7 separate regions of the Mus musculus genome follow, and regions 1, 2, 3, 5, 6 and 7 are each reported to be linked to region 4. The links are microRNA targets in miRTarBase. Many come from high-throughput screens and were not tested one by one. Region 4 holds a microRNA gene; each other region holds the end of a gene's coding sequence. Distances are from middle to middle.
What was found. Region 4 holds the annotated microRNA mmu-miR-124-3p (UAAGGCACGCGGUGAAUGCC, at 2,095-2,114, opposite strand). A microRNA usually pairs through its seed, bases 2 to 8, with sites in the 3' UTR of a target mRNA and lowers its output. Matches are read on the target gene's strand: a 7mer-m8 pairs with bases 2 to 8, a 7mer-A1 pairs with bases 2 to 7 and ends in A, and an 8mer does both.

Region 1: miRTarBase lists Imp3 as a target of mmu-miR-124-3p. Seed matches in the 3' UTR shown: 8mer at 1,156-1,163.
Region 2: the mRNA of Klf13 is a reported target of mmu-miR-124-3p. Seed matches in the 3' UTR shown: 7mer-m8 at 1,543-1,549 and 7mer-A1 at 669-675.
Region 3: miRTarBase lists Mdk as a target of mmu-miR-124-3p. Seed matches in the 3' UTR shown: 7mer-m8 at 3,339-3,345.
Region 5: miRTarBase lists Nsdhl as a target of mmu-miR-124-3p. The part of its 3' UTR that is shown has no 7-base or 8-base seed match.
Region 6: the mRNA of Ctnnd1 is a reported target of mmu-miR-124-3p. Seed matches in the 3' UTR shown: 7mer-m8 at 2,713-2,719 and 7mer-m8 at 2,753-2,759.
Region 7: the mRNA of Eefsec is a reported target of mmu-miR-124-3p. The part of its 3' UTR that is shown has no 7-base or 8-base seed match.

Annotation. Positions count from the first base shown.
Region 1 is chr9:56,937,077-56,941,292 of GRCm38, forward strand. It overlaps Imp3 (IMP3, U3 small nucleolar ribonucleoprotein), which reads left to right and starts at 424. Exons shown (of 1, transcript NM_133976.2): 1 at 424-1,322. The coding sequence starts at 431. The coding sequence ends at 985.
Region 2 is chr7:63,888,340-63,892,555 of GRCm38, forward strand. It overlaps Klf13 (Kruppel-like factor 13), which reads right to left. Exons shown (of 2, transcript NM_021366.3): 2 at 1-3,458. The coding sequence ends at 3,169. Among named protein-coding and RNA genes, the nearest start is that of Gm27252, 5.9 kb to the right of the region's middle.
Region 3 is chr2:91,926,662-91,930,877 of GRCm38, forward strand. It overlaps Mdk (midkine), which reads right to left. Exons shown (of 5, transcript NM_001012336.2): 4 at 4,157-4,216; 5 at 3,144-3,454. The coding sequence ends at 3,429. Chrm4 (cholinergic receptor, muscarinic 4) reads left to right here. Exons shown (of 2, transcript NM_007699.2): 2 at 556-3,168. The coding sequence starts at 588. The coding sequence ends at 2,027. Among named protein-coding and RNA genes, the nearest start is that of Mdk, 3.1 kb to the right of the region's middle.
Region 4 is chr2:180,891,981-180,896,196 of GRCm38, reverse strand. Mir124a-3 (microRNA 124a-3) reads right to left here and starts at 2,157; the gene lies at 2,090-2,157.
Region 5 is chrX:72,956,801-72,961,016 of GRCm38, forward strand. It overlaps Nsdhl (NAD(P) dependent steroid dehydrogenase-like), which reads left to right. Exons shown (of 8, transcript NM_010941.3): 8 at 482-1,728. The coding sequence ends at 814. Among named protein-coding and RNA genes, the nearest start is that of Zfp185, 28 kb to the right of the region's middle.
Region 6 is chr2:84,600,447-84,604,542 of GRCm38, reverse strand. Ctnnd1 (catenin (cadherin associated protein), delta 1) reads left to right here. Exons shown (of 19, transcript NM_001085450.1): 18 at 791-894; 19 at 1,640-3,762. The coding sequence ends at 1,651. Among named protein-coding and RNA genes, the nearest start is that of Ctnnd1, 48 kb to the left of the region's middle.
Region 7 is chr6:88,254,928-88,259,143 of GRCm38, forward strand. Eefsec (eukaryotic elongation factor, selenocysteine-tRNA-specific) reads right to left here. Exons shown (of 7, transcript NM_023060.3): 7 at 2,407-3,464. The coding sequence ends at 3,274. Among named protein-coding and RNA genes, the nearest start is that of Dnajb8, 35 kb to the left of the region's middle.

The DNA of each region.
Region 1 (4,216 bases), not on the chromosome of region 4:
GCTGCCAAGATGGCTCAGCGGTTAAGAGCACTTGACTGCTCTTCCAAAGGTCCAGAGTTCAATTCCCAGGAAAACCACAAACAGGGGATCTGAAGCTCTCTTCCGGTATGAAGACAGAGCAATCATATACACAAAATACGTAAATGAATAAATATTTAAAAACAAAACACAACACTGGACTAGACTAGTTGCATACGCACTGCATGCAAGGAAAAGTGTATTCGCAGGACACGGCTCTCCTTCCGCAATTCTTTCTCCCCCGCTCCCCTTTCAAAACAGGAAGTTCCAGAGTTGGACGAATGAAAAACCGGGGGCGTGTCTTTAACCAATCTTTTGATTGGTCCAGTGATCTAGAGGCGGGGTCTTTCTACGTCGAGGCGGAAATTACGCTAGATTTTCAACGTATTCCCTTTCTCCCGCATTCTCCATCATGGTGCGGAAGCTTAAGTTCCACGAGCAGAAGCTGCTGAAACAGGTGGACTTCCTAAACTGGGAAGTCACCGACCACAACCTCCACGAACTGCGTGTGCTGCGGCGGTACCGGCTGCAGCGGCGCGAGGAGTACACGCGCTACAACCAGCTGAGCCGAGCGGTGCGCGAGCTGGCGCGGCGCCTGCGCGACCTGCCGGAACGCGACCCATTCCGCGTGCGCGCCTCGGCGGCGCTGTTGGACAAGCTGTACGCTATGGGCCTGGTGCCCACGCGCGGCTCACTGGAACTCTGCGACTCCGTCTCGGCCTCGTCCTTCTGCCGCCGCCGCTTGCCTACTTTGCTCCTCAAGCTACGCATGGCGCAGCATCTCCAAGCTGCTGTGGCTTTTGTGGAGCAGGGTCATGTCCGCGTGGGCCCAGACGTGGTCACTGATCCCGCCTTTCTCGTCACTCGCAGCATGGAGGACTTTGTCACCTGGGTGGACTCATCCAAGATCAAGCGGCACGTGTTGGAGTACAATGAGGAGCGCGATGACTTTGATCTAGATGCCTAGCGAGTCTTCTTGTCCTGGCTTCTCAGCTACAGGTCACTGAACCGGGGATGGGGAGGATTGCCCCGGTGTACTGGGAATTTTTCCTAGAATTTGGACTGACAATTAAGTGACTGTGTCTTGAGAGACAGTGGGAAGCAGTTTTGTACCGCACTGGGGATTGCTAGCTTCTTGTGCCTTAAACTTTGTGGTGTAGAAGCAGGAATGTTACCTCTTCCCCTTTGCTTTCATCTTGAAATAGGACCGTCTGGATGGAGAGTTTGAGTTCAGTATATTTATATCGTTTAAAGAAACCCTTTCCTAATGCCAATAAATGTCCCACCGACGTTGTTTAAGTGCACATTTTTGTCTGGTCGTTCTTCTTACCTAGGGTCCTACATAGCCATATCTATTATCTTGCTAGCTGAAGAGCCTAAGGGCAGGAAAAGGGTTGAAGGCGTGAGGCTTTGGAGCCTCACGTGGAGGTTGCAGGATGTTGTACAAGCTGGGCAGATTTGTCACTTAACCAGTCCTTTTCTCGGAATGAATGTTTTGGCAGAGCTTTTATCCACAAGACTTCCTGTTGATATTCCAGCCCCAGGAAATACCATATTAAAGTCCTGGAGTGTTTGCTTGCCTAAGGAAATGATCGCCCTGTAGTTTGGCCAGCTAGTGGTTAGAAGGGACCCAGGAGGTTCCTGAAAACAGATGTTCTTCAAGGTCCTGGCTTCAGAGTTAAGGACACCCCCCCCCCCAAAAAAAAAAAACAAGCAAAAGGGCGAGGTAGTGCTGGCACAGCCTTTAATCCCAGCAGTTAGGAGGTTAAGGCAGGCAGATCTTTGAGTTCCAGGCCAGCCTGGTCGACATGAGGACAACCAGGGCTATGCAGAGAAATTTAGGACTTTAAAAAAAAAAAAAAAAAAAACGCAGCAGAAGCAAAAGGAAAACCATAAAGCAATAGAACTGGTAAATAGAGCACCAAGTTTTATCCCAGACCAAATACAAAATAGAATTCAGAGTCTGGCAGATTAAGGTATTTGTGTAGGGGTTATTTTTCTTCTCTCTCTCTCTCTCTCTCTCTCTCTCTCTCTCTCTCTCTCTCTTTTGAGACCGGTTTTGATTTGAAGCTCAAGCTGGTCTGGAACTAGAAGTGATCCTCCTGTCTCAGCCTCTCCAGTGCTAATATTACAGTGTGCACTGATGAGGCTCAGATTTTATGTGCTTCCTCTTCCTTGCTAGTGAGCCAGGCAAGATAGCTCAATGGGGAGAGAGGCACTTGCTGCTCAGGCTGACAGTGTGAATTTAGTTTTGGAACCCACATGGTGGAAGGAGAGAGCCGACCCTTCCACATGCATGGTACGTCATTTACATTCATACAAACAAAATTTTTTAAAAAGTAAAACTAGGGTTGGAGAGATGGCTCAGTGGTTAAAAGCACCGATTGTTCTTCCAAAGGTCCTGAGTTCAAATCCCAGCAACCACATGGTGGCTCACAACCATTTGTAATGAGATCTGATGTCCTCTTCTGGTACATCTGAAGACAGCTACAGTGTACTTAGATATAATAAATAAATCTTAAAAAAAAAAAAAGTAAAACTAGGGAAGGTAACATGAAATGATTCCAAATATTAGACACAGGTTTACATGGGTAATATATACCCTCCCAACAAACCCATTTAAATGAGTAGATCAGTTACTCTGCACTTTTCAGGTGAGAAAGGAAGATAAGTCAGTATTTGATTGCTTGATAAATGAATTAAGAGTTTTAAGAGTGCTAATGCACAGCCAGTCCTTAAAAGATATGTTGGAGTGTCAGCCTCCAGGTCAGTAGCAACACTAGGCAGTGATTGGTTTCAGCAGGATGCTATAGAAGAAGTTAGTCAGAGCTGGTGTATTATGCACTAAGCAGAAACACTGCAAGTGTGGGGTCAGCCAAGGCTGCAAAGCCAGTGTCTCAAGAAATAAAAGACTGAAGAAATGACTAAGCAGTAAAGAGCACTAGCTGTTCTTCCAAAAACTCTACTTCCAAGGGATCCAATATCCTCCTCCAGCCATGCATATGTATATAGACATGCAAGCAAAATACCCATCTACCAAGAGAGGGAGAAAAATTGGGCATGGTGGCATATGCCTTTAATAATATTTCTTTGGACTCATCCAATCCCAGCACCCAGGAGGCAGAGGCAGTTGGATCTCTGGTCTAGAGAGTAAATTCCAGAGCTACAAAGAAACCCAGTTTCAGTACCTCATCCCCAACCCCCAAATTAAAAAGCAAAACAGCCGCTGAAAGTGAAGACAAAAAAAGCTCTGATGTTAGGAGCTTGCACAGCTCTTGAAGAGGATCCCAGTGTATCAGACTTAAAATTACCTATAACTCCAGCTCCAGGGGCATGAAATACCTTAGCCTCCTCAGGCTCCTGCACTTACATATGTATATCCACACACATAAACAAAACTAATACTTTTAAGGAGTTATAGAGGCTGGGCTGTATGGCACATGCCTTCAAACTCAGCACCCTGGAGGTATAGGCAGGTGGATCTCTGCATTTGAGGTCAACCTGGTTTACAGTGAGTTCCAGGATAGCCAGGACTACACAGAGAAATCCTGTCTAAAACAAAAGGAGAAGAACAAGAGTAATCCGGAGAATGTCAGGCATGGTGGCGCACGCCTTTAATCCCAGAACTTGGGAGGCAGAGGCAGGCGGATTTCTGAGTTCGAGGCCAGTCTGGTCTACAAAGTGAGTTCCAGGACAGCCAGGGCTACACAGAGAAACCCTGTCTCCGAAAAACAACAAAACAAAAAAGAATGATCTGGAGAGGTGGCACAGCCCAGCTGTATGTTTGTGTATGTTTGTTATAAATAACTTGGGGGTATTCACCAGAGAGTACTGTTTGGACATAGGTTTAAGTCACTACCAAATCTTTTGGCCCTCAGTCCACTACACTGAGCCTTTTCCAGGGTGAGCTTTAAAGCATAAAAATCACGTTTTGGGTTGACACACTTAACAAGAACAGTTTGCCAGAAGTGGAATTACAAAAGCCCAAAAGTAGTACTTTGAGAGACGTTTCCAGAGCTATGGACTTTGATGGATTAGGTATTTGTTTTCATTGTTTTACAGCCTGAATGGCACTGCCATCATGGAGTCGGTTGTGTGAGGTCTGCAGGCCTACTAAGGTCTGGGGCCCTGTTACATAACTATGGCATAGGGCTTGAGAGACCTTCGCAGTTCAGGGTACTTGCTTTTCTTGCAGAGA
Region 2 (4,216 bases), not on the chromosome of region 4:
ACTGTCCACCCCTACGTAGCACCCATCAAGAGAGAACCGAAGGCCCTCTTTGGAAAGGGCTATTTTCTGTATGGCTGTAGAATTCAGTAGGCATCTGGGGGAACAGACAGTGGCCCCATAATATGGCTGATGCAAAGAAGGACTTTCTCATTTGGGACATGAGCTAAACTCCAGACCCTTGATGGCTGAAGTCCAGAGTTCTGACACTGCTGTAGGAACTCTCCCTTCACTCAGGCACTTTCATTGTGGGATCTCTGATTCCCATCCCGAAAATAAAGATTTGACTTTTCAGTATTATTCCTGGGCACCCTAGGGGTTCCTCAGTCAAACTGAAACCAGAAAATATGGCCATAAACCGCAAGAAACTCAAAGATCCTACTACAGACCCGGGTCTGGGAAGACTGCATCTTCGAAGGCATCCCTTGTTTATTATGACAAGATGGGAACCTAATGAAAAGCCCCTGGAACTGAAGTTAGTGAGTCATGTTCCTTCCTTCCTCCCACCCCTTGAAGACATGAACTGAAGCCCCAGATGATATAGAGGGGGTCTATGAGGGGTGCCCTGGCCCCATGCCAAAGGACCACACCCTGCCATTAAAGGAGAACCACTTTGGGAATGAAGACACGTTCATTTGCCAAAAATAGCCAACGCCTGCATATTTCTGTTTTAAGGCAACGTTACCCTTCCATCTATCAGATGGAACAGCCCTGGGTCATTCAGAGGAAAAATTAAATTAAGTGCTCTCTTTGGAAACAGCCTATGCCCACTCTCCCTCCCCCTCCCCCCCAACCCGCTCTAAAACAAACCAGCTCTTTCTTTTATTCCAAGATGATGGGGCTTAGAGTCCTTTTATCCTTCCCGTGTGCAGACAGTGGCGGAGTCAGAAGGCCTCCTGCTGTGACTCTATGGGGAGGTAGGCCACAAGGAGACACCTGGCTCCTCCCAAGGAGAGACCGTGGCTGGTCTCTGGGGCACACTGCTGCCTCTGGCTTCAGAACTGTGGATGTAGGTGCACCAAAGGACTTTGGAATAAAATTCCTGAATCTGGAATGTGAATTCCTGAGACATGAAATGTGTTCAGAGTGTGGCTTTCTCTGCCTCACACAAATGACTTTGGGAGGGACTACACTTTGGAACTCAGCATGAAGATCGCCACACCCCAAGCACCCAGGGCTCCCTTCTTCAGTCAAGGTCCTGGCCACGTACCCCACTCTCTTCCCCAGGTGAAATGCAAGCAGAGCTGTTACCAGCTTTACACTGGACCAGGGCAGGGACCTCCCCCCACCCACCACGCCTGCTTTTGGCAGCAACAATGCCACAGCCTAACTCAGCACCTACGGTGCCACCAGAAGCCACCATATGCCATTGTTAGCCTCTTGTAACTGACACAGGTAGTTAGAAAGGGGTGCCCAAGATCCATGTGGGAGCCACATGACAACAGCTGGAAACTGTAGACTTGGCTGGGCATGGTCTCTGGGTTTCCCCTGTGCTGCACCCCCACACTGTGTGAGGGTTGGGGCGGAGGCAGAATGGCCACAACCAAGGCACACTGGGCCCAGGAAGCCCATCTATGACCCTCTGAGTCACAAGGGCCAATTCTCCACATCAAAATGAAGAGAGGTCTCTGTAAGATAACCCATGTCCATCCCAAACCCACCCACCACCCAATACACACTCACGCGCGCGCGCACACACACACACACACACACACACACACACACATCCAGTCCTGGGGCTTTGTGTTCCTGGGCCCCAGAGTTCGTGGGAGAAGGGGAAGAATGCCTGAACCTCTGCAGGGTGGGAGGAGATGATACTCCAAGTATCTGCAAAGGAGCAACCAGAACATGGTCTTGCTGACGAGGCCCAGCACCTGAAGCCAATGTAGCCCAGGTCTAGGCTCCAGGAGAAATAGAGCAGGCCTGGTTTCTATTCCTGCTGTCCCGACCAGCAGCAGGCCACCCACCCCTGCCCTGACCCACACTGCAGACTGGGTGCGGTTTGGGTGCTCTCAAGCAGGGCAGGCAGAAGCAGGACAGAAGAGTGGGTAATGCAACAGTGTGGAACTGTGGGTCTGCTAAGTCTGTACCCAAGGTTCTGAGAAAGTCATTCCCACAATTTTCATCCGGTGTCCCCCAGAGCAGCAGTCCTTGTCTCTCCAATAGCATCTCCTGGAATACCTGCTGTGCTGCTCTGAGGCGGTAACTGACGATGCCGTTGCCACCATCAGTCCTGTGGGATGTGTGAGCGCTGCCACACTCACAGACTGAAGAGGCAGAGAGGGGGCGTGGCGGTCCTGTCCAGTGGCCCAGGGCACGAGAGCTTAGGAAGCCGGATAAAACAACATCAATTTTGGGGAGAAGCAGGTCCAGTACAATGTGCCCAGGGTACTATTTCCCAGTCTGAGAACATAGTGTGATAGTGAAGGGTCCCAGGTGCCTTCGTGTAGGACAGGCAGGGCCCAGCCGCCTCCATGGGTGGTTGGCAGCCATGATGTGCCAATCCAGGCAGGGTTTGCATCTGGCCTCCATTTTCCTAAGGATTTCTGGAAGCAGGTAGGTAGGCAGGCAGGCAGGCAGGCAGACAGGACCAGCCTTAGAAGGCAGAGGTCCTTCACAGTTCCATAGGCAAGTGCTCCCATGGTCTGTCATGGCTTACCACATCCCTGTGAGGTGGCCGGTCTCTTAGCCAGGCCAAAGGGCAGAGAACCACAATTGAGTGGTAGGCAAGAGAGGGTCCTAGGCCTTTGGGGGGGGGGGGGGGGTCTTCTGCAAAAACACCACATCACTGTCTCCAGCTGTCCTGTTCTGCCCCAATGTAATCCTAAACCTCACAGAAACTCCAGAGTGCAAATCTATGTACAAAGTAAGGCGGCAGAAAGGCATGCCCTCACTGACCTCGTGGACCGCGTTCATCCCTGAGAAAGGGGGGGTGGGGTGGGGGAGAGGGGGGTTCAACACCGCTGAATCTCATCTTCGTGGATAGCTGTATTTGTGCAATTTGTGGGTGGTGTTTTTGTTTTGTTTTAATTTTTTTTTTGAGATTTTTTTTTTCTTTTTGTTAAAAATTGACACCTGAGGTGAAGAAAACTGTTTTGCTGTGGACTTCTCAAGTTCGCTCAGCTTTCCTATTACCAAAGGGGTGAGGAGGCGCGGTCCAGGCGCGGGTGCTCAGGGTGAGCTGGCCGGGCTGATGGTGGGGCTGCTGGCATCGGAGCGGCTGTAGTCGCTGAGCGAGCCGGTCCTCGAGCCCCCGCCGCGCCGCTGCAGCATGCCTGGGTGGAAGTTGGCGTGGCGGCGTGCGTGCTTCGTCAGGTGGTCGCTCCGCATGAAGCGCTTCTCACAGATGGGGCAGCTGAACTTCTTCTCGCCCGTGTGCGTGCGATAGTGCCGTGCCAGCTCGTCCGAGCGTGCGAACTTCTTGTTGCACTCCTGCCAGCTGCAGGCGAAAGGCCTCTCACCTGCGGGGAAGGGGGACAGAACAGAGGTAAGTCTTGGCCACGCCCCACCGGCTCGCCAGGCCACTGGCTCTCACCATCCTCCAAGGCCTATCTTTGCCGCAGACCCAGCACCCACCCATCCACGGACACTCGGGGTCACCTGACAACCACAGAAAATCAATCACGCCTTTAATCTGAGCACTTGGGAGGCAGAGGATCTCAGAGGATCTCTGAGTTCGAGGCCGGCCTGGTCTACAGAGTGAGTTCCAGGACAGCCAGGGCTATACAGAGAAACCCTGTCTCTAAGAAAAAAAAAGAAAGAAAGAAAGAAAGAAAGAAAGAAAGAAAGAAAGAAAGAAAGAAAGAAAGAAAGAAAGAAAGAAAGAAAGAAAGAAAGAAAGAAAGAAAGAAAGAAAGAAAGAAAGAAAGGAAGGAAGGAAGGAAGAAAGAAAGAAAGTCAATCACTAGTGTGAAAAATTTGAAAGTTAAGGACAACAGAGCCACCAACTGTGGAGGAAAAGGGAGAAGCTGGCAAACAGGAGAATTCACCTAAAACCTCTAATCAGAACTCTCAACAGAACCTGAGATACAATGCCAGGCACAGAACAAACAGAAAACATAAAAAGCAAGTTCAGGGGCTGCTGAAATGGCTCAGTGGGTAAGAGCACTGACCGGAAGAGCAATCCTGAGTTCAAATCCCAGCAACCACATTAGGGTGGCTCACAACCATCCCTAATGAGATCCAATGCCCTCTTCTAGTGTATCTAAAGACAGCTACA
Region 3 (4,216 bases), 89 Mb from region 4:
GCCTGAGTGGGCAAACAACTAGACATTTGGCCCCGCTGCCTGCTTCAAGTCCTTGGGGCCATTTCCTCATGCCCCTTGCTTTCCTGAGCTCTGTCTCTGGGCCTTTGCCGTATCTCCTTGCCTTCCTTCCCACCAGCTTTCCTCCTTGCCCTCATCTGCGTCATCTTCAGGGTGAGGCCGGTGATCAGCCAGCAAGCACCAAGTTCTCTCCCGTCTTCTCTCTCAGCCTTCCCTTCACCATCTTCTTTCTAGCAGTGTCCCCCTCCCCCGCCATGTGTTTCTGTTTCCCCCCAAAACTAGATGATCCATTCTGAGATGGGGACCATGTGTGTTCATTCACTTTTATAACCTCAGCCCTGAGCTGATTACAGTACTTGCCTGAGGAAGCTTCCAGTAAACGGTAGAGGACTGAGAACTCAGGAATGGTTGGCACAGGGAGCCCTGACATTTTCCTGGATAAAGTTCCTCCAGCCACAGTTTGTGACTCCTCCCCCCCTCCCCCCTCCCCCATCCTCTTCCACCATTCACTTCTGTGCTGTCTCCTTCCTCCTCCAGCCACTGCCCACCTGTCTCCAGTTGGGTTCAGCATGGCGAACTTCACACCTGTCAATGGCAGCTCAGCCAATCAGTCTGTGCGCCTGGTCACAACAGCCCACAACCACCTGGAGACAGTGGAGATGGTGTTCATTGCGACAGTGACTGGTTCCCTGAGCCTGGTGACTGTGGTGGGTAACATCCTGGTGATGCTGTCCATCAAGGTCAACAGGCAGTTGCAGACAGTCAACAACTACTTCCTGTTCAGCCTGGCGTGTGCAGATCTCATCATAGGGGCGTTCTCTATGAACCTTTACACCTTATACATCATCAAGGGCTACTGGCCCCTGGGTGCCGTGGTCTGTGACCTGTGGCTGGCCCTGGACTATGTGGTGAGCAATGCCTCTGTCATGAACCTTCTCATCATCAGCTTTGACCGCTATTTCTGCGTCACCAAGCCCCTCACCTATCCAGCCCGCCGCACTACTAAGATGGCAGGCCTCATGATTGCAGCCGCCTGGGTCTTGTCCTTTGTACTCTGGGCCCCTGCCATCTTGTTCTGGCAGTTTGTGGTGGGCAAGAGGACAGTGCCTGATAACCAGTGCTTCATCCAGTTCTTGTCCAACCCGGCGGTGACCTTCGGCACAGCCATTGCTGCCTTCTACCTGCCTGTGGTCATCATGACGGTGCTGTATATTCATATCTCGCTGGCCAGCCGCAGCCGTGTTCACAAGCATCGACCCGAGGGCCCCAAGGAGAAGAAGGCCAAGACTCTGGCTTTCCTCAAGAGCCCTCTGATGAAGCCGAGCATTAAGAAACCTCCACCAGGGGGCGCTTCTCGAGAGGAACTGCGCAACGGGAAGCTAGAAGAGGCTCCTCCGCCAGCCCTGCCCCCGCCTCCACGCCCAGTGGCTGACAAGGACACTTCCAATGAGTCCAGCTCAGGCAGTGCCACCCAGAACACCAAGGAACGGCCACCCACAGAGCTGTCCACCACAGAGGCCGCCACCACACCAGCGCTGCCCGCTCCTACCCTGCAGCCACGAACCCTCAACCCAGCCTCCAAGTGGTCCAAGATCCAAATTGTGACAAAGCAGACAGGCAGTGAATGTGTGACTGCCATCGAGATCGTACCTGCCACGCCAGCTGGTATGCGCCCAGCAGCCAATGTGGCCCGAAAGTTTGCCAGCATCGCTCGTAACCAGGTGCGCAAGAAGCGGCAGATGGCGGCCCGGGAGCGCAAAGTGACTCGGACAATCTTTGCCATTCTGCTGGCCTTCATCCTCACCTGGACACCCTACAATGTCATGGTCCTGGTGAACACCTTTTGCCAGAGCTGTATCCCCGAAAGGGTGTGGTCCATCGGCTACTGGCTCTGCTACGTCAACAGCACGATCAACCCTGCCTGCTATGCACTCTGCAATGCCACTTTCAAAAAGACCTTCCGGCACCTTTTGCTGTGCCAGTATCGGAACATCGGCACAGCCAGGTAGACGGGCAGGTGCCTTAGGAGGTGCTGGTGTCAAGAGTGTGTACCGGGGAACCACATGGCTCACCGGCTGTGGAGGAGAGAGTAGGCGGCCCCACTCTGAGTTCGCATCTGCTGAAGAGAACAGGTCTCCCAGACACCGTGAGGTACAAGAGGCTCTTCGCTGGGATGGGAGAGCAGATCTCTACTGAAGCCTAGGAGGCTCGGCCCAGGGACGGTCTGAACTGGCACCACCTGGCCCATATCTTTTACCTTGCCTCAGGAAGATGGGGGACGATGGCTGGAGTGGGCAGTGGCTCTATCAAGGCCAACCATCGGTGGAGGTGGATGAATAGAGCAGAACTTGGGAGCATCTTGAGAGGAGCAAAAGGAGCCAGGCTTGCAAGGGTGGGGTCCCCCGTTATGCTGTAATCGGTGCTTTCCGCCTTCCTGCGCCCTCCTCTCCCTTGCATGTAGGCTCAGCCCTTCCCCTGCCCCCAAGTCCCACTCCAAGGTGAGGGACTTCCCTGCCACTGTTGCTCAGCCAGGCTCTGGATGGGAAGCCAAGCCCTTTGGCACTCCCCTGGCCAGCAGTCATCTGGACAGGGCAACTGGGAGGCCATGCTAAGCCGAGATACAGACTCCAGGGGACTGAATCAATTAATGGTGGATCTTATTGTCAAATTGTCAAGAACCCCCCCCCCCAGGTCACACATCAAATGAACAGCAGTGGGCAGTGTTCCTCTCTACCTCTGAGCGGAGGGAGGTATGGGTCCAAGGAGGGAAAGGTGATGGTGGGGAACTTGGTGATCCATACAGCCCACAGTGGCGAATGACACAAGCAAGCACCCTCATGGATCCCCAATGAGAAAATTCCAGACTTGCAGTAGCCTGGACCAGAAACTCTTGATGAGCTGGGACAGAGTTCAAGTGAGTCACCTAGGTCCCCTTCCCTAACCCCAGCCCTGTGGGTCCCTGGGAGACTTTTTTTTTTTTTTTTTTTTTTTTTGTAAATGTTCTGCTCTTTTTCCACGAGCTGTAGGGAGCACTTCCTTCATAGCCCTCAGCTCCCCTCAGTCCATCTTTCCCCATCTTCCCACCTCCGACAGAGCTCCATGGCAAACTGGGAAGGGGCTTTTATATATTAAAAAAGAAGCTTTTATTGGAAAAAAGTGAGTTTATTTTATTCATTTCTTAATAACAAGTATCAGGGTGGGGAGAACAAAAGAGGGTATGGGGAGGCTCACTTTCCAGAATCTCTTGTCCCTCCCCACTTTGGGCACTTGGTGTGGGCGTGAGAGGACAGGCGTGATTGACAGAGCTGACAGGAAGACAAAAGGCACTGGTGGGTTATATCTTGGGCCTGTGGGAGAGGAGGGCTCCGTTCAGGCTCCAGGCGAGGCCGGAGGCTCTCTGGCCTCCTGACTTAGTCCTTTCCTTTTCCTTTCTTGGCTGGAAAACAATAACGGAGATGCATTAGTGCGGTGGGTGACCTAGCTCGGACTCACCAGACAACGCAGACATGTCCATCAAGGAGAGAAAATCCTGCCCCCTAGTGGTGACTGACCAGTTCACCTGGAAGTGGTGGGAAAGGGCAGCCATGTGATATGAAACCTTTCTTTATTCGTTCAACTTTTTAACCCTCGCGCCCCCCCCCCCCCTTTAAAGACAGACTCTCAAGTCTCTCAGTCTGTAACCTTGAACTCAAGGCAGTGTTACTGCCTCAGTCCTGAAGTGCCGCTTTTTACAGGCACGAGCTACCAAGCCTGACTTTCAACTTTCTATTTTCATCTAGGATCAGAGTACTCCAAGTTCCTCACCGGGGAAATGGGCAGAGTCACCTCTGCCCTGCTGGCCTCAATAGCTGTTGGGAGTCAGGTAGCAGCATGTACCTTTGGGACAGCCTTTCCATAGTTTTAAGCGCAGAGTTAACTCCTCCCTGATCCCACCCCACCTTCCTCAGTTGACAAAGACAAGCCTTTCCCAGGAACCCAGGTCGGATGATCCAACAGAAAGAGTAGTTCCTACTTGGGCAGAGGGTTTAGCATCTCCTGAGAGTGGCCCTCAAGTGCCTGCCCATTCCTAACTTTAAGACTGCTCTGCAGAGACAGAGCATGGAGTAGCCTGGCCCACAACCCCACCATATTCGCTGACCTTTGGTCTTTGACTTGGTCTTGGAGGTGCAGGGCTTAGTCACGCGGATGGTCTCCTGGC
Region 4 (4,216 bases):
TGCCCAGATTGGTCCTGTGCCCCTGAACTGAAGCCCCTAGCCTCCACTGAAGGGGGTGCAATGAAGGTGAGTGAAGGTGATTGCTACTCAACCTGGGCTGGGGCACAGGGCAGCTTGCCATGGGCTTTACCGCCTATCCACTCTCCAGCCCACCTCCCTTACCATCCTCCCCACCCCGATCTCTGCTCACAGCCCAGAAGGTCACTGTGGTCAGGAGCCAACTCTCCAGCAAGGGCAGCGGTGGCACAAGAATGGAGCTCTAGTTCCAGGGGAGAGGCAGGGGGAATCTTCCCTCTGGGAAAAGAGCCAGGCTGCAGTGTAGAGCACCCCCAACAGAGCTCAACGAGGGGCATAGTCCTGTGCCCCCTAGGAACCTTTACACTAGAGGACTGATACCTCTACCAATTCCTTCAGTATTGCTTTGAGTTCACCTTGCAGCTCTTCTGAGGGAGGAAGGGAAAAAGAGACAGCAAGCCCAAGGTCAGAGCTGTGGTATGCTTGGGCCCCTTCTCCACCCTCCAAGAGGCAGAGGTTCTGCAGAGGCTCTGCTTTGGGGACAGGATGCAAAGGCACTAGTGGTCTATGAGTGTGTGACTGTGTGCATCTCTCCATGGAGTACTGAAGCAGTCTCCCTGCAGCATCTCTTTGTGTCTTCACGCGGGCCCTTTTGTCTTGCTTTTCTGCAACTGCACAGGACTTGAGGCTAGGAGAATTTGGGCGGTCAGTTCTGGATCTGGGTCAGAGCCAGGAAAGGGGCTCACACTCACCCCATGAAGATGAAAAGCAAGTCTGCAACTTGTCTGAGGGGGTGGGGGTGCAGAGGTTGTGACCTCCTCCACTGACAGTCAATCCTAGGTCATCAGTTTCCAACCTGTGTATCAGGACTCCTTTGCCAAACTCTATCTCTAAAAATATTTACATTAGGATTCATAACAGTAACAAAATTGCAGTTATGAAGTAGCAACAAAATACGAAGTAGCAACGAAAATAATTTTATGGTTGGGGGGAGGGGTCACCACAACATGAAGAACTCTATTAAAGGGTAGCAGCATTCTGAAGGTTGAGAACCATTGCCCTAGGTAATAGGGCCTGTAACCTTGGGGATCGGAAACCTTGCTGGGAGGAGACATGCCAGAGCAGAGTCTCATACCAGGACGCCAGCAGGTGGCGCTGGCTGCCGAGGACAGGAAAAAAAATGCCTGCAGCAGACCTGAGTGGGTGTCACTGCGGCTGCAGATGGTGGTGGGGGAGGGAGGAGGAGGATTTGTCATTTTCTCTCTGGGCTGCAGAGCCTCACGTGCCTCGCGTCCCGCATAGCTGGAGAGAGGTTTGGGGGCGGGATGCGGTCCAGTGTATCCACCCAGATTTAGACCTTGGATGCAGATGCAGATCCCCCACTTCCACAGCTCGAACCTCAACCTAAGGTTCAGGGGTTTCTTCAGAATCAAAGTGATCACCGCCTTCACCCTGCGACCCCAACTAGAGCGCCCAGGGGACAGACTGCAGTGACCCCAGACCCTACCCCATTTCTCTGGGGTTGCTGCGGCAACTATCCAGGGCCCCCTAGATGGGAACAGTGATACTCATGACATCCCTTCGCCCCAAGCGCATTAGCGCCCCGTCTCTCTGGGTGACTCCACGGCCAGCACCGAGGACAGCGCCCAGGACTGCCCGTGGGTAGCGGGACGCGCCAACACAACCCGGGAAGCTGCACACTTCCCTCCCGCGCCCCTCAGCCCGCCGCTTCCCCAGCCCCTCCCTTTGTCTTCTGGCCCTCGTCTCCCTCTTCGGGATCTCGAGCACTCAGAGCTGCGGACACACGTGGTCAGGGGCCGGGTGGCCACATTCTCCCCCGCGGTCGCCCCCACCCTTCTCGTGACGTCCTAGGCATGCGGGCCCCTTTGTGTCCCGCGGCCAGATCCCCGGCCCAGCAGCTGGGCCGCCCTCTGGGCGGGCGCATTGTTCGCCGGATTTGTCCGCGGAGCGAGGGGCCACCGGGGGCCGGGGCTCGCCTTTTTCCCGCGGGAGGGGCGCCGCGACGGCCGGGCTCCCGGGCCATTTCCATGAGAAAGGAGCGGCGGAGGCGCCTCTCTTGGCATTCACCGCGTGCCTTAATTGTATAGACATTAAATCAAGGTCCGCTGTGAACACGCAGAGGGGCCCTCAGGGCTGCGGCGGGCGGCGAGCGGCTGGACCGGGTCGGGGCCGGGCTGCGGCTTGCGTGGGGTCCTAGCCTGAGGGGCGCGAATGCTCCAGCTTCTTCGCCGCGGGGCGGGCGGGCGGGGCGGGGCTCCGCGCTAAGCTGGCAGTGCTGCCCTGGTCCGCCCCCAACTCCGAGGAGCCAGTTTTCCTTCCCCTCCCCGAGGTAGAGAAGGGCCCGGGCAAATCCCTCGGGGCGTTCCTGCAGTAGGGACCCCTCGGAGCCGCGGCGAGGGAGATGCAGGAGCCGGCCGGGGTGAGCGCGCGTGCTCCGGCCTGCTGCAGTCTTCTGACGGGTGCAGAGCCCTCTCCACCCCGGCGGCGCAAGCCTCTCCGCAGCTGCCCTTCCCCGGCTCCTCTTCCCGGCCCCACCAGGAGTGCGTGAGTGCGGTGAAAATAAAGAACCTCGATGTTCGGAGATGAAAAGCAGTCTCTTTCTACAACCCGCCGAGCTCTCTTCTCTTACGCCTCTGGCTGGCGAGAAGCTGCTCGAGGAGAGAAAGACGGGGTGACCTGAGAGACCGGCTCGCCCCGGCACGGGCCGCCAGCGCAGTTACCCGTCCGGGCGCGAGCCGCCGCCGCCTGCTGCTTCTCGGTTGCCGCCTCCGCTCCGCAGCACAGCCTGCGCTGTCGCCCGATCCCGCCTCCGCCTCCTTCTTGGCGCCCGCAGGACCCGCACGCTACGGCCCCGGGTGGAGGAGAGCGCAGGGACAGTGCCAAGGAAGCCGGGCAAATTCCTGAGGGCCGGGTGGGAGCCCGGCGTCCGCGAGGTCGGCACTGCGGGAGTCTGACTCCCACTCTCCTTGCCTAGACCGGGTGCGACCGTCCCCGCGCTCGCCGCCGCCGCCGCTGCCTCCGCTCGTATCCGCGCTCGGCTCCGGCACCGGGCGATTATCACTGGGGCGCGCGGTGACGTCACCCGACACCGGCTCTGCCGCCTCCTCTCGGAGGTGTCCTTGAGAACTGAGGGGCACGCGCACCGCGTACACGCGCACTCACGCACCGCGCGACCCGTGCCTCCCGCGCACACGCTCGGCGTCCCGCTCCGCGCGCTCCTCGACTCACACGGATGCAGCCCTCGAACGCCTTCGATTGTGCCCGGCGCCCCGGGGTCACACGTATGCAGAGAAACTGCCTCTTGGACACTCTCGAACCGCTCATTCTGTCCTACTGCACGACCCACGCAAAAGCTTCTCCCGCAGCCCACCGACCGCAGCTCCTCTACACCCACCACCAGCCACACCCCGCTGTGCAGCGAACACACTGTGCTTGCCTCACACAAGCGGCTGGTCCTTCCGGAATAACCACTCTACACAGTGGCTTCTGAGCCTCTCTCTCCTGGGGGGGGGAAAGAAAGGGGTCCTAGCCTCCTGCTGGCGGCCCTATGTGGAGAAGGGAGTTAGACATCTCCCCCAACCCCCATCAGAGACTGCTCCCCTTTTTCACCCTTTTTCTAGCTGGGTAGCGAGTCCTTGCTTACGAGGATGGGAGAAACACAGTCCATACTTCACAGTTGACTGCAATTGAATCTACTCTTTGCAGTCTATTGAAGGGTGACTACCTTGATCTGGGTCTTTAGGGCTAGAGATCAGCGGCTTTCCAAAAATAAAAAACAAAAAAAAAAAAAAAAAAAAACCCACGCCACTCTAGGCCTTCCCAGCGGGCCTTTGTTCCTGCAGACTGGAAGAACCACACAGAAGTAGGCAGGCCTCTGTCCTATCCTTTCTCCCTGGGCCAACCCAGCCCTTGACCACCTGCCCTCTAACAGAAGCTAAATGACCCAGGCATAAATTCTTCCCCCTCCCTTTCCAACCTTCTCCAGCCCCGTGGGAACCCCCGAAGACACTCAGCTGGGAAGGAGGTAATCTCCGGAGATCTCATCCCACTGCCCGAAGGTCCTCAGAGGGTCAGGATACTTCTCTCCCAACCCCAAATCCTTCCCTTTGCAGGTGCCAGTCTCAACCGACGCTAGAGAATCCCCTCTTACACAGACAGCTAAGCCCACCTTTGCTTATGC
Region 5 (4,216 bases), not on the chromosome of region 4:
TCAGGGCTAGCTCTGTAATCCCTCCTGAGTACTCAGTACTCTTTTCTCCCCGGGAACATTTTCCATTTTCCCACTTTGGGAGTGGTTGGAAATGGGGTGGTTATAGCTTTTGGTTTAAAAGATCTAATATAGATCTTACATGCAAAGATTAAAACCAAATGTAACCTTCTAAGTGCAAGCTAAACTTCACTTAAAGTCCTGGCCTTTTGTAGAATTTGTATCACCTCCCCTCTTTGCCCTTAAACACTGCCCATTCTGAGAGTCTAAGACGGGCACATTGCTGCAGCTAGGCATGTGACGCTTGATAACACAACCTCACCATTTAGTGCCCCTGCAAAAGAGATGGGGCAGGCTGGACAGTGTGCCTTTGCTTTCCACAGAAGTTGGAAGTGGAGCCAGCAAGTTGAGCTTAGGGACCCATGTGTGGCCTGATCACTCTAGCAGCTGTGCAGGCCTTTCTAACTTCATGTTCTTTTACCAGGCATTTCACATCACCAACGATGAACCAATCCCTTTCTGGACGTTCCTGTCCCGCATTCTGACAGGCCTCAATTATGAGGCCCCTAAGTACCACATCCCCTACTGGATGGCCTATTACCTTGCTTTCCTGCTATCTCTACTGGTGATGGTGGTCAGCCCTCTCATCCAAATCCAGCCAACCTTTACACCAATTCGAGTGGCATTGGCTGGAACATTCCACTATTACAGTTGTGAAAAAGCCAAAAAGCTCTTTGGGTACCGGCCACTGGTCACCATGGATGAAGCTGTGGAAAGGACTGTGCAGAGTTTCCACCACCTGCGGAAGGACAAGTGAAGTTCCCCAGTGCCCTCCCCAGTAACTTTCTCCTCTCTGTTCTAAAGAACGCATATCCTTAACTGAGTTTCTCTTGACCTGTGTGTCCCTTGCTGGTTAGATGGTAGCATACCTGACACCCTCCATGACATTGGAGGTGACAACAGGAGACATTTCTCCCAGGATAGCATTGAACTTCTCAGGCAGAGTCATAATCTACTGCTTGGGTCTTTTTCTCTCCCCCACACCCCTACTTCTGTCTCCTGGGTTCATTATCAGAAAGACAGCACTAAAGTGAAGTCTTTATCTGGGGTCTTAAAAATTGAAGCAAAACCAGAAATTGTAAACACACAGTAAGCCTTCAGACATACATTTTATATGATCACAGTACAATAGCTCAAAGTATTGATGAATGTAATCCCCAATCCTTAAGGATAAATCCACTGCTGGTTCCTTGCCCCTCACATACTGTCTAGGTCTCTTTCAAAGATGGTTGCAGTGTCTGCCTCTATTGTTTTTCCATAAATCATTTCAATTTATCCACAGACTCTGGTGTGGTCTTTATTGCTCAGTGATGGTGCAATGCAATGGTACAGTGTGTGCTGTGTTAGCTGGTCAGCTCCTAATAAACAGGAGATGATGGCTGCTTGGCAATAAGCCAAAAAGAGTGGTCTCCTTCATCGACATGATGTTTGAGTAGAAACTCCTCCGTGAGATGGGGCAGAATGGGTTACAGACATCTTTGCAGCTCATTTCACAGAACATTATTAGGCCACTTTCCAAAGAGTACAGGCCACTAACAATCCAGCCATTTCTGTTCTCTGAACTCATTGAAATGTATTCTTGAAGAATTCTAAGTTCTTCTTCATCACTGTTCAACAGTAAGATGATTGGGGGAAAATAACAAAGAAATAAAAGCCATACAGTTTGTGTTGCTGGCTGTTCTTCCAGAGGTCCCAGGTTCAGTTCCCAGCACCCACATGGTAACTCATAACTGTCTGTAACTCCTGTTCCAAGGGATCCGACACCCTCACACAAACACACTTGCAGGCAAAAATACCAATGTACATAAAATACAAATAAATTATGAAAAATGGAAAAGGACAGAATACCATGGGAAGAAGATGGTCCTGTGAATGAATCTGGTGTAGGAACTAGGTGTGGAAGCAGTGTCCCCTCAGACCTCAAAGACGGAGTTAATTAGAAAGAGACAGACCCTACATTCTTAACTGCTCACTCTTTCCCAGCTTTCCTGACTCAGGCCCACTCACCCACTATGCCCTTTTGGAGGAAATGCAAGCACCAGGAAATTTCAGCCTTGGGCATACCCCAAACTGTGACAGGGGATAGACCTGGCACTGTGCCTGCCAGTCCTGCAGATAGTTCCAACCACTGAAGTAGCCTCACCTCAGCCACTACAAGACACAACTTGCTGTCATCACAGGCCGAAGTCCTAGGGGTTACCCAACCTGTTGAATTTCTGATGACCTACAGTAGCTGCCTAGAACATGGAGCTTGGCCTCTGCATCTGCCATGCAGTACTTTCTCCCTAGAGAATCAGAGCCAGAGGAAGGCAGCTAACTTTCTGTATGTCTAATGAGGTGATCTCCCATTTCAGTCCCTTTTCCCATCTCTATGGCTGCTGACCTAGTTCTTCCTGGCTCATCTGCACCTGAGTCAGGTGTGCTGTGATAGCAAGCTGATCTGTCCCTCTTCCAGTCCTGGGGATGTCAGACCTAAAACAATTCTAGATTCTACCTCACTACTCACAATGCTTTAGCAGATCTCAATGTTCTCCCAGCCTACCTTTCCACTTCCACCACTAGGCTAACATGTACTGTATTGCAGCAAAACTGTACCATCACTTTTGACCCTGTCATCCATATACTTGCTCAGGTTGTCCTGCTTGCTGACAGTGCATTTTTGTGGCCATTCCTTTCCTTCCCAGATCCCCTCCCGCTCCTCAGTCTGTGGCTCTTGGCCTTCACCTCATTTCATGTGTTTCCTGCCTTTGCTTTCTCCTACTTCCGCCAGACCATAGGTTCTTTCAGGGACAGAGGCAGCCAGTGTCCTGCCAGCACAGGGTAGCTGTCCATTAAGCACAGGTGATCTTCTTTCCTGACTTGGTGTCCTAGGGGAACAGCAGGAAGTGCTGGGGTAGAGATGAGCCACAGTCCCAGCATACATGTGTGGGATCTGCAACCTCTGAGTACCATAAATTAGCCTTTCAGCATGTGTCTTTCACCAATATGTCAGATAAGACTGTGACCTAATAAAAAATTGCAAGCTAGAGAATTTGGGACTCAGCAGCTGTAGGGAAACCTGCTTTGGAGAGAGATCCAAAGGAGATAAGGAAGAGGGCAGTAGTCATCTCTGTCTGCAAGTCTCTAAACTAGCTCTTCCACTGTGGAGTCCAGGACTCCAAAGTGAAAGCCATGCAAAGGACAGAAATGGCCTCTTGCCCTTCACAGGTTCCAGGTATGCCGTGAAGCCGCACATGCTGGTCCACCTTTCACACCCTCTCCCTCCCAACTCTACTCTTTATATATATATATATATTCTTCATTGACATTTCAAATGCTATCCCGAAAGTCCCCTATACCCTCCCCCTCCCTGCCCTCCTCCCCAACCCACCCACTCCCACTTCCTGGCCCTGGTGTTCCCCTGTACTGGGGCATATAATCTTCGCACAAGTCTACTCTTTTATCCCCAAGAGTACAGCTTGTGCCATCCTCTACCCACTTCCTCGGCGCCAGCATCCTATACCCAACCTCCAGCTCACTGTGGGGGAGGCAGCACCTGATTCTCTTTCGAAGTCTATCTCCAGCATAATTTCTTCCTTACAGCTCCCCTCGCTTTTTACACGTCCGTCTAATTATGTCCTCAGTCATATATTAACCATTGACCCAACTGCCCACTCTCGCTTACAGACTGATCTTCTTGTTCCTTAGAGGCTAAGGGCTTTCTATTCTTTACCTATTTCATGGAAGGTACACACTTAGTATGCCAAGAGCCAACAATTCCCACATTAGCCACCTGAGGGAGCCCCAAAGATCCTTTTCAGAGTCAGAATGGGAACTAATTGTTTTGGCCAATAAGCACCACCTTTCACATTCATACTCAGCCAGCCTAATCTAGCTAAGAGTTCCTAAGCCTACAGGATAGCAGGCTTCAATCTGATATGTTTGTAACCTGAAGGTTTCAAAAAGCACAAGTAGGGTCTGGGGAGATGGCTCAATGAATAAGAATGATTGTTGTACAAGCACCAGGAACTGAGTTCAAATCCCCAGCACTCGCATAAAAAGCTGGGCATGGGTGTATGTGCCTGTAATCCTAGCTCTAGGAGTAGGACAGAGACAGGAAGATTTCTGGGACTTGCTAGCTGCCAGCCTAACCAAAAACAATGAACTTTAGGTTCACTGA
Region 6 (4,096 bases), 96 Mb from region 4:
GCTGGTTATGAACCACCAAGTGAGTGATGGGAGTTGATCCAGGCCCTTGCAGTAGCAACAAGTGTGCTGAACTATCATCACTCTAGCCCCCTGACCTTGAATTCTTGATAGATCCTCTTCTTCCCACATATGTTCTCAGAAAGTCTCATGTGGCATATAACTAGTATAGCCCTAACTCTCTTTGTTTTTTCTCTTTACTCTCTACTGGTCTTTTTTTTTTTTTTAAGCAGGATTTCATAGCCCAGGTTAGCCGAGGATGACCTCAAATTCTTGTTCCTCCTTCCTATTTGCTATTCTATCTCATCATTCTACTTGGGTATATGAAGCCTTCTATGGGAATATCCTTCCCCTTTGTTCTTCTAAATTCTTTTCATTCCCAAAACCTAAACTCAAGTTGTGTTTTGCTTTATCAGTTTCTTTCAATTGTTAACATATTTCTCTGTCTTCTCTCAATTTCAGGGCTGTATCTCTTTTGTAGGCCAGGTCTCTTTAGTGTCACTCACCAAGGGATACACTGTTGTTTCTTGTTGTTATTGCTTTGTTGTTTTTGCAGTGGTGGGAATTGAATCTAGACTAACCACTCTACCACTGAAGTACATCCCCAGTATTGGGTATTTCTCATACACCATCTTTCCCATTATACTCAAGTTATGTGTAAGTGTTAAAAAGCACCAGTGTTTAATATCTTGTTGGTGCATCTAAAACAGTTCATTTCACAATCTAATTCACATATTCACATACATTGTATACTAGAAGGAATGTCTTATTTCTGTGTACTTTCTTCCTCTAGATAACAACTATTCCACACTGAATGAGAGAGGAGACCACAACAGAACACTGGACCGATCTGGGGATCTGGGTGATATGGAACCATTGAAGGGAGCACCCTTGATGGTAAATCCTTGTTATGTATTGCTGTGTATGAGGCTAATACTATTTTGAAACTGTATGATATATAAAATGGGAGGCGGCGGGAAGAAAAAGACAAATCTTTTTGGTAGGTTTTCTTTGATGCATCTTGATGGTTCTTGGGATGTTGCTCATTGGTTGTGTGGATGGATTTTGCAAGCGTTGCTGACGTCACTGACACTAACTAACCTGCTCTCGAGGACATCTCCCTGCTCTTGCACTTACCTGTTTAGGATGTTTGCCCTGTACTCTTAACAGGGTTTGTTCACTTTACAGATGTTGGGATTTCCCTTCCATCTGGCACACACTTAGAAAGTCTTACCTTGGTTCTCTTACTAACAAATTGCATGTGTTCACAGCAGGACGAGGGGCAGGAATCTTTGGAGGAAGAGTTGGATGTGTTGGTTTTGGATGATGAGGGGAACCAAGTGTCTTACTCCCCCATGGTATGTCCTCCAGTCACCCCTAAGATGGTCCTGAGGAAGGAGGTTGCTGTGTGCCTACTCTTTGCCAATCATGCTGATCTGATCAGGCCTGCGATACTTGTTTGAGCCGCATGGTACCCAAGGGTTCTACTTCTGTGATCACGACCTCTTCCCAGGCTGGGATGCAGCGGATGATCTGGTTCTATGTTGTGTGCTGCTTTCCTGCCTCCAGATTTGCTCAGCTGTGTATGTTTCCCCTGTCGTCCTGTCCTCAGCCTTAACAGCCTTCTCTTTTTTCCCCACAGCAGAAGATTTAGCGCCACTCTACCTGCTCCATATGGGCTTATAATATATTACTTTTATTTTTTGGTGGTGAAATGGACTGATGATTTTTTTCCTTTCTTCGCTGGACTATTGTGCCAACTGCCAGGCTGACTCCTACCCTTGTAGCCCAAATTGGCTGCCGTCATCCGTGAATTACCTACATCTTCCACTGAAGTTTAATTGTCCTATCCTCCCAGACCCTACTTCCAGTTTTCCCCCAAGAAACCTGACTCTGTTATTTGCATATCTTGAGAAACTGCTGCAGATTAGCTCTTTTTGCCAGCCTTCCCTGGAACTCTTGGCCTTGCATAGAGGGAGGGAGAGTGGAACTCTCTACTGGAAGCAATGGGAAGAACTGAAAATTACACACTGTCTGTTCAGCAGTCAGCATTCTGACAAACTGATGACTTTTAATCAAGACTATTTTTTCTGGTGTGGGGGGAACTTTTTATTTTGTTTTGGATGGGGAAGTGTGAGTTCTTCCCTTATCCAGTGGCGATTTTTGAAGCCAAGAAGGCTGGAAACATTGGCACATTCCACCTGGCAAGGGCCCTCAAGTAAGTGAAGTACTCCCCAACCTCAGAGTGAGAACTCTTGTTCCTCCTGTTCAAGGCAGGGACCACAAAGGACCTACAGACTCCATCTCTCTGTCAGCTTCAGGATAACCTTGGGGTGCTGTCCTGACCAAGGCTGTCCTTAACCCTCCTCTCCTACCCTGTGATAAACCTGCTAACTTGACCTGGCTGTTTTGCAAGATGCTTTGTAAAAAGGAGAATGCCATGGAACCCCCTGGTTGAGAAGAAACAGAAAGATTGTCTATTGAGAAGATGAACCTCTAGGAGGAATGTACATGAAGTGGTTAGTCTGAAACTGGCAGGAAGCTTCAGAGCTGGCTTTCCTCAGCCCCCTCACCCCATCTCTCTTCGTCCTTTATAAGCTTGTCCTCCCTCTCCTCCCCTTCCCTGGATTTGTTGGCCAACTTACAAGACTTGTACATAGCTCCTCCCCCTTTGCCCTTGTAAGGTAGGAGTTGCCCTGGCTTTGCCTCTTCTTTGTGCCTTTGGCCTGGGGTGCATCTCCTCCCTCTCTTCCAGGTGCCTTTCTTTGCCTCTGCAGTCTCATTTCTCATGATTTTGCAAGTTAGACCTTGTTATTTTCTTACCCACTGTTGACCCCCAGTAGCTGAAGCAAAGAAGAGGAGTGGTAACTTAGGGAACTTCACGTCCCTACTGGGTGTTGTTAAAGCCTCTGACATAGCCACAACAGGCTTCTGCTTAACAGTGTGCAGTTGGGATTGGTGAAAATCCATCCCGATAAGTCTCAAAGTGAGGCTGTTAGGAGGGAGTGCTGTGACTCTGACTCCTTAGTCGTCCCCAGTTCCCATCATCTCTGAAAGGCTACAGGGAATCAGGCCATGCCTCCATTACACCCTTTTCTGTTGTAGTGAGTGTTACAGCTTGGCTAGAGAAGCAGCTACTATGTGGGTGCAATTTTTTTTAAACATTTTTCCTTATTTTCTTTCCTTAATCTAAAAGCTCTATTCAATGCAACTGGAATTCTTTATCCCTCTTGTCCTGTTCCTTAATATATTGAGGCTATGGGGTAGGAGAAAAGTGCACAGCCCACCAACTCCTTTTCTTATACATTGCAGTCACCCCCTCCCCCCAACCTTTGCTTCCTTCCCATTTCTTCCTAGTCCCGTTTCCCTTTTCTGGCAAAAAGGAGCTCTGTGCTCTCTGTGACCCTCAGAGTACACTGCACAGGGGAGCCTCCCCCACCCACATCTATCTGCCTCTGGTTTTGGGTTCTCTTGTCCTCTTCTGCTCTTCCTGGTGCTCTTTCTTCTCGGTGGGGTGTGGGTAATAGAATAGCCATGGGCTTTGGGGACCTTTAACTGTTTTTTTGTTTGTTTGTTTTGTTTTTCCTTTTTCATTTATAAAAACACTAAACATTCAATTTCAGCAAACCAAAAATCCTACCCTCCCACCGAATACTACTAAGGGGCATATCTTCTGCTCTGTATCTTTTCTCTCTTTCTTTCTCTTGTTAATGCTTTTAAAAACAAATGAGTTTTTTATATAAATAAAAGTTTTTAAAGTGTGTGTGTGGGAGGTCTGTGTCATTTCTTCACTTCCAGCTGCACTTCTTCCCTCCTTTCCTTCTTAGTTACTTTGGTGCCGGTGTTGTTTTTCTATGCAGAGCAGCCAGAAGGCGGTTCGTTGTCTCAGGATGGGCTTACTTTAGTTTCAGTCCCAACTCTAATGAAGGAAGGTTCTTTGTAACACCCTCCCACTCCAGAGTCTTAAAAATATTTAATGAATGGCTGAAGTAGAGCATGAGAACTTTCTGCTATTAGAGTTAGAAAGTGAAGTGCATACCCTGGCTTCCCCATTCTTTGGGGTTCTCATACATCATGACAAAATCAGCACTAAGCAAAG
Region 7 (4,216 bases), not on the chromosome of region 4:
TTGGCTCTCCTTTTAGGAGCTGCACCTCTGGCCCCTCAACAGCATGCCCCTCCTCCCCCAGGCAAACTCCTGTTCTCGCTTCAAGATCTTGTTCATGGAGCCTCTGTGGTCTCTTGGCAGCAGGGTCATAGATGACCCTCAAGAAAGGGACCAGCTAGAACTGGGAGTCCATGAGTGGTGCTCAGGAAAGCGGCAATATGGAGGTTGTCCAGGTCAGGAAGCCTGGGCTGGGAGCACCCTCGAGCTGGAGGGAGTTCTACCCAGCTCAGGGCCCTGGGCTTGGGACTTCTGGTAGGCCCCCTATTGCTAGTCTTGCCAGGTCCTAGAGAAGATGCTCATTCACCTTTGTGCTCTGTGCACTGTGGGTCACCACCCTGCATCCCTGCATCCCCCAGACCCCACTCTCCTTTATTCTGCTTCTGTGCAGATGTCACACATGCAGTAGACAGACAAACCCTGAGCACATGGTGTCCAGACACTGGCCCTGTCCAGAGGCTCTGTCCACGCATGAACCCAGGTGCACATGTGCCTGGCTGGGAGGACAGAGACTGCCCCTTCTGCCCCAGGCCCCCAGGGCTTCCCATTTACCAGCCGTTATCTATCAAAAATATATTAACCCCGAGCCTGTTTCCATCAGAGTCTCGATTCCAGGGACGGTTCCAGATAAGCCTTATCTCTGTGCTGGTGCATTAGCCCCATGCTCCAGGGCCTGCCAATCATGTTGCCCCCACCCAGCCTGTGTTGTGACACTGGCTGTGTGACTTCATATTGTGTGGGCAGGCCAGCTAGTAGTAGGCTAGAGGGTGCTTCTTTTCCAAAGACAGACCCCAGGCACTATGGCAAGGAGTTGGGGATTGTCTAGGGCTCTAACCCTTGGCACAGATCCCAAGCAAGTTCCTGTGGGCTATTGCCGCAATGAGCCTGGCCCTTTGGAGTCGTGTGTTCCCTAAAATACTGGGGCTGGGGACTGTGTGAGGGGTGGGGGGTCCTGGAGCTGAGGGTCCCGCCTATAGCCAGTCCTGATCAGCAGTGCACACTGCTTCCCTCCCACTGCTGCCTTGGCTGGGCTGCCCCTTTATCCCATCTTTAACTCACTAACGTGTATTCAGGTCCATCCATAGCATGTCTGTGAGAGGCCGCTTTTGCGGCCCAGTTGTGTCCTGAGGCCACACTGGGCAGGCCTGCCTTATACACATTCTCAGAGTCCTATAAGCTTTCAGGGGTTACATGCTGAGCAGCCCCTTCCAGTGCTCAACCCTGGATTCTTCTGTGTTTCCTCTTAGGAAAGTAGTCTTCAGGAGAGATGCTGGGATATGGACATGGAGACACGTACAGGTCTTGGAGAAAATGGCTCAACTGGAGCTAGGCTAGGGCTGGGGCTGGCTGCAATACCTCTGTGTACATATCTGTTGGCTTTCTTCCAGGCTGCAGAATCTAACAGCAGCTCCATGTTCAGCAGAGGCCCATGTCCTCAGGTCTACCCAATAGAGCAGGGCTTCTCTTATATAACGGGGATCCTGAGATATAAGCTGGGGACCTGCCCAAGGCCATATGCCCAATCAGAGAAGACAGGACTCTGAGAGGAGTAAAGTTCCGGGCCCCTGTCCGGGGAGGATCTTGGTCCAGGCTCTGTGCTGAGCAGAAGGGCTTCTTTCCCTATGAGGATTCAGACCTCCTCACCCACTCACCAACACTTAGAGGCTGCAATCCTGGAAGGCCTCTTTGGGTCCCAGGAGTGATGGAGGGGACTATGGGACCTCAGCCAGGTTGGCTACCCGCCCTGAGGTCTGTGCCCAAGCCTGGGCCTCACTGGCTCTAACTGGCTGCTCCCCCAGGCTTCCTAACAGGTAAATAGGGTGGGGCAGGGCATGGGGTAGCTCAGCCAGTGGCCCTGTCCTTCAAGCATGGTAGTCTTTAGGGCTGGGTGGGGCTAAATGAGGGCACAGGAGGCCCAGGATCAAGCAGAAGGCAGCCACCCTGAGGTGCCCATGCAGGTGGCACCAGTGGGTTCCTTGGAGCTGGGACTCAGGTCCTTTGGGAAAGGAGCTCTTGTAGTGCCTACAGTGGCTACACTCACTACATTTGTTGTCCTCTGGGTCACACCCAGGCCAGGGGAGTTCTACAACTGGAGGAAGCTGGTCCCTAAAGGCCTGGTAGTTAAGACCCCGCCTCTGCGTGCCTTCAGCTATAGGTTGTCCTGACTATGGCTGCCTGGGGCCTGGCCAAGGACAGTGAAGGGCAGCCCCTGTCATCCTGGCCTCTTGGAGGCATGAGGGGCTTGGTCCGCTGATGATGTATCTGATTAGAGGCCATGACTTACAGGGACGCTGTGTTCTGTGGTCTGGCTCCTTTTTCTCTGCTCTTAGCTCTGGGACTTAACAAACCCAAGTCATTTGATCACAGCCTGCCCCTGTTAATATTTTTAATGCCATTTTTGAAAATTAAAGCATAATGCACCGATTACTGGGATAAAGGGAGGCCTTCACGTCTGTCTGGAGGCCAAACCGAGAAACATTGGGACATCTGCTCCCCTTACAGGTGTCTGGAAAAGCTCTGATTTCCTTCGTTGGTCAGTTCTATCCTCTTGCCCCTATCTCAGTCCCCATGCTAAGCTTGAGGGTGCTGGGGCTGAAGATGAGCATGGAGAGGGTCCAGGTACTCCACCCCTGGTCTAGCACCCTTGGGAGTCCATGGTTCCAAAAATGGAGGCCAGGGCCTATTGACCTCTCGTGCAAGGATGGAACCCCAGGGTACTAACCCCTGGCCAGAGGACCCCAGGAAACTCAGCTGTTCAGAAAACCTCCATTCTTCAAGGTCCACTGACAACATCCCAGGAGCCACTTGGTTGAACCTAGCAGCTCTCGAGCCCTAAACCCAATGCACACAACTCCCTGTGATGCCTGGGAAGCCCTGGGAGACAGGCAGACTATGGGCACACTAGGTCACATATGGGATGTTTATTTTCCGTTGGAGGGTGCCAGCTAGTTGGGGCAAGGCTGAGTGGCTGCACACTCTTATCGGGGGAAGACCCAGGTTGCTGGCTCTGCTAAGGCCATTTTCTAGTAGGCCTCGTTGCTATCCTGAGTGGGTTCAGGGATGGAGTGGCAGGCCCTCCTGGCACTGTTCCTCATTTTCCCCAGGTTTTCTCAATGGGGCTCAATAACAGTGCAATGGCAGTGGGATGGGGTTGACTGCCTCAGACTGGGGAGGTTGAGGCATGTCTGGGGGCATCTGGCACTGTGGTCTGGCTTGCAGCTGGGCAGGATGGTTCATTCAGGGAGTCTGTACCATGCGCTTCTGGGTGTCAAAGACATAGCGCTTGAAAGACAGGTTGAGTGTCACAGGCTGGATGGGCTCTGGCCGTTCAGTGCCCTCCTCTGGCTTGGTGGTCTCTCCACGGCCGGCTCGGCTCCGCTTCTTGAGTGTAGGTGTCAGGATCTTCTTGGACTCAGGGCTGAGGCCACCTGCAAGGGATAAAAGTGTCACTGACTCATTGTAGGCACAGCTGTCCTTGTCTCCTAGCTCTGCCCTCCCACAACTCAGTATCACTACCTTTGCCAATTCACTACCAGCCAGTCACTTCTGGGGCATAACTCTCTGATCTTCTGGCTGCTCATCGGGTCCCTAAGGTCCAAATGCTCTCTAGGAACACTGTTCTACCTGCCAGATATGCCACTAAAAGTTCCTGGACACCATGGTGATACTCTCTTACCTCTATATTGGGAGTCTGAGCCTGTGGCTGACTAATGTCTTCTTCCTGCCTCTGGGTGGGTTCAGAGGAGGGAGCCTTAGCAGATCAGCAGTGATCAGGGGAGCAGCTGGGAGCTTTAACCAGCTCTCCTGGGTCAGAGCTCTTGCAGGATCTTACCCAGGCTCTGGGAGACACTGTCTATAGCCAGCTCCTCATCCTCACTACCAACCCAGAATAAGGCTGGGCTCCTGGCCATTCTCAAGAGCTCAACACGATCTTTCTTCACCTACAACTGCCTTTTCTCTTTCTACTTCCACAGTGGAAGACGTCCTATGGTCCCTCAGTGAAAGGCTGTGCATCGAAGCTTAGCCATTTTTTAGTTATGCTACATCCTGACAGTGTCTGGCAGCTGCGGACTCTGCAGTAGTTACTGAGTCCAGCATCCTACATGCTCATTTAGTCTTGTATTGAGATATTCAACTGATTGTCTTAAGTTTGCAGATGAGATAGATGCTGGGAAGAGGC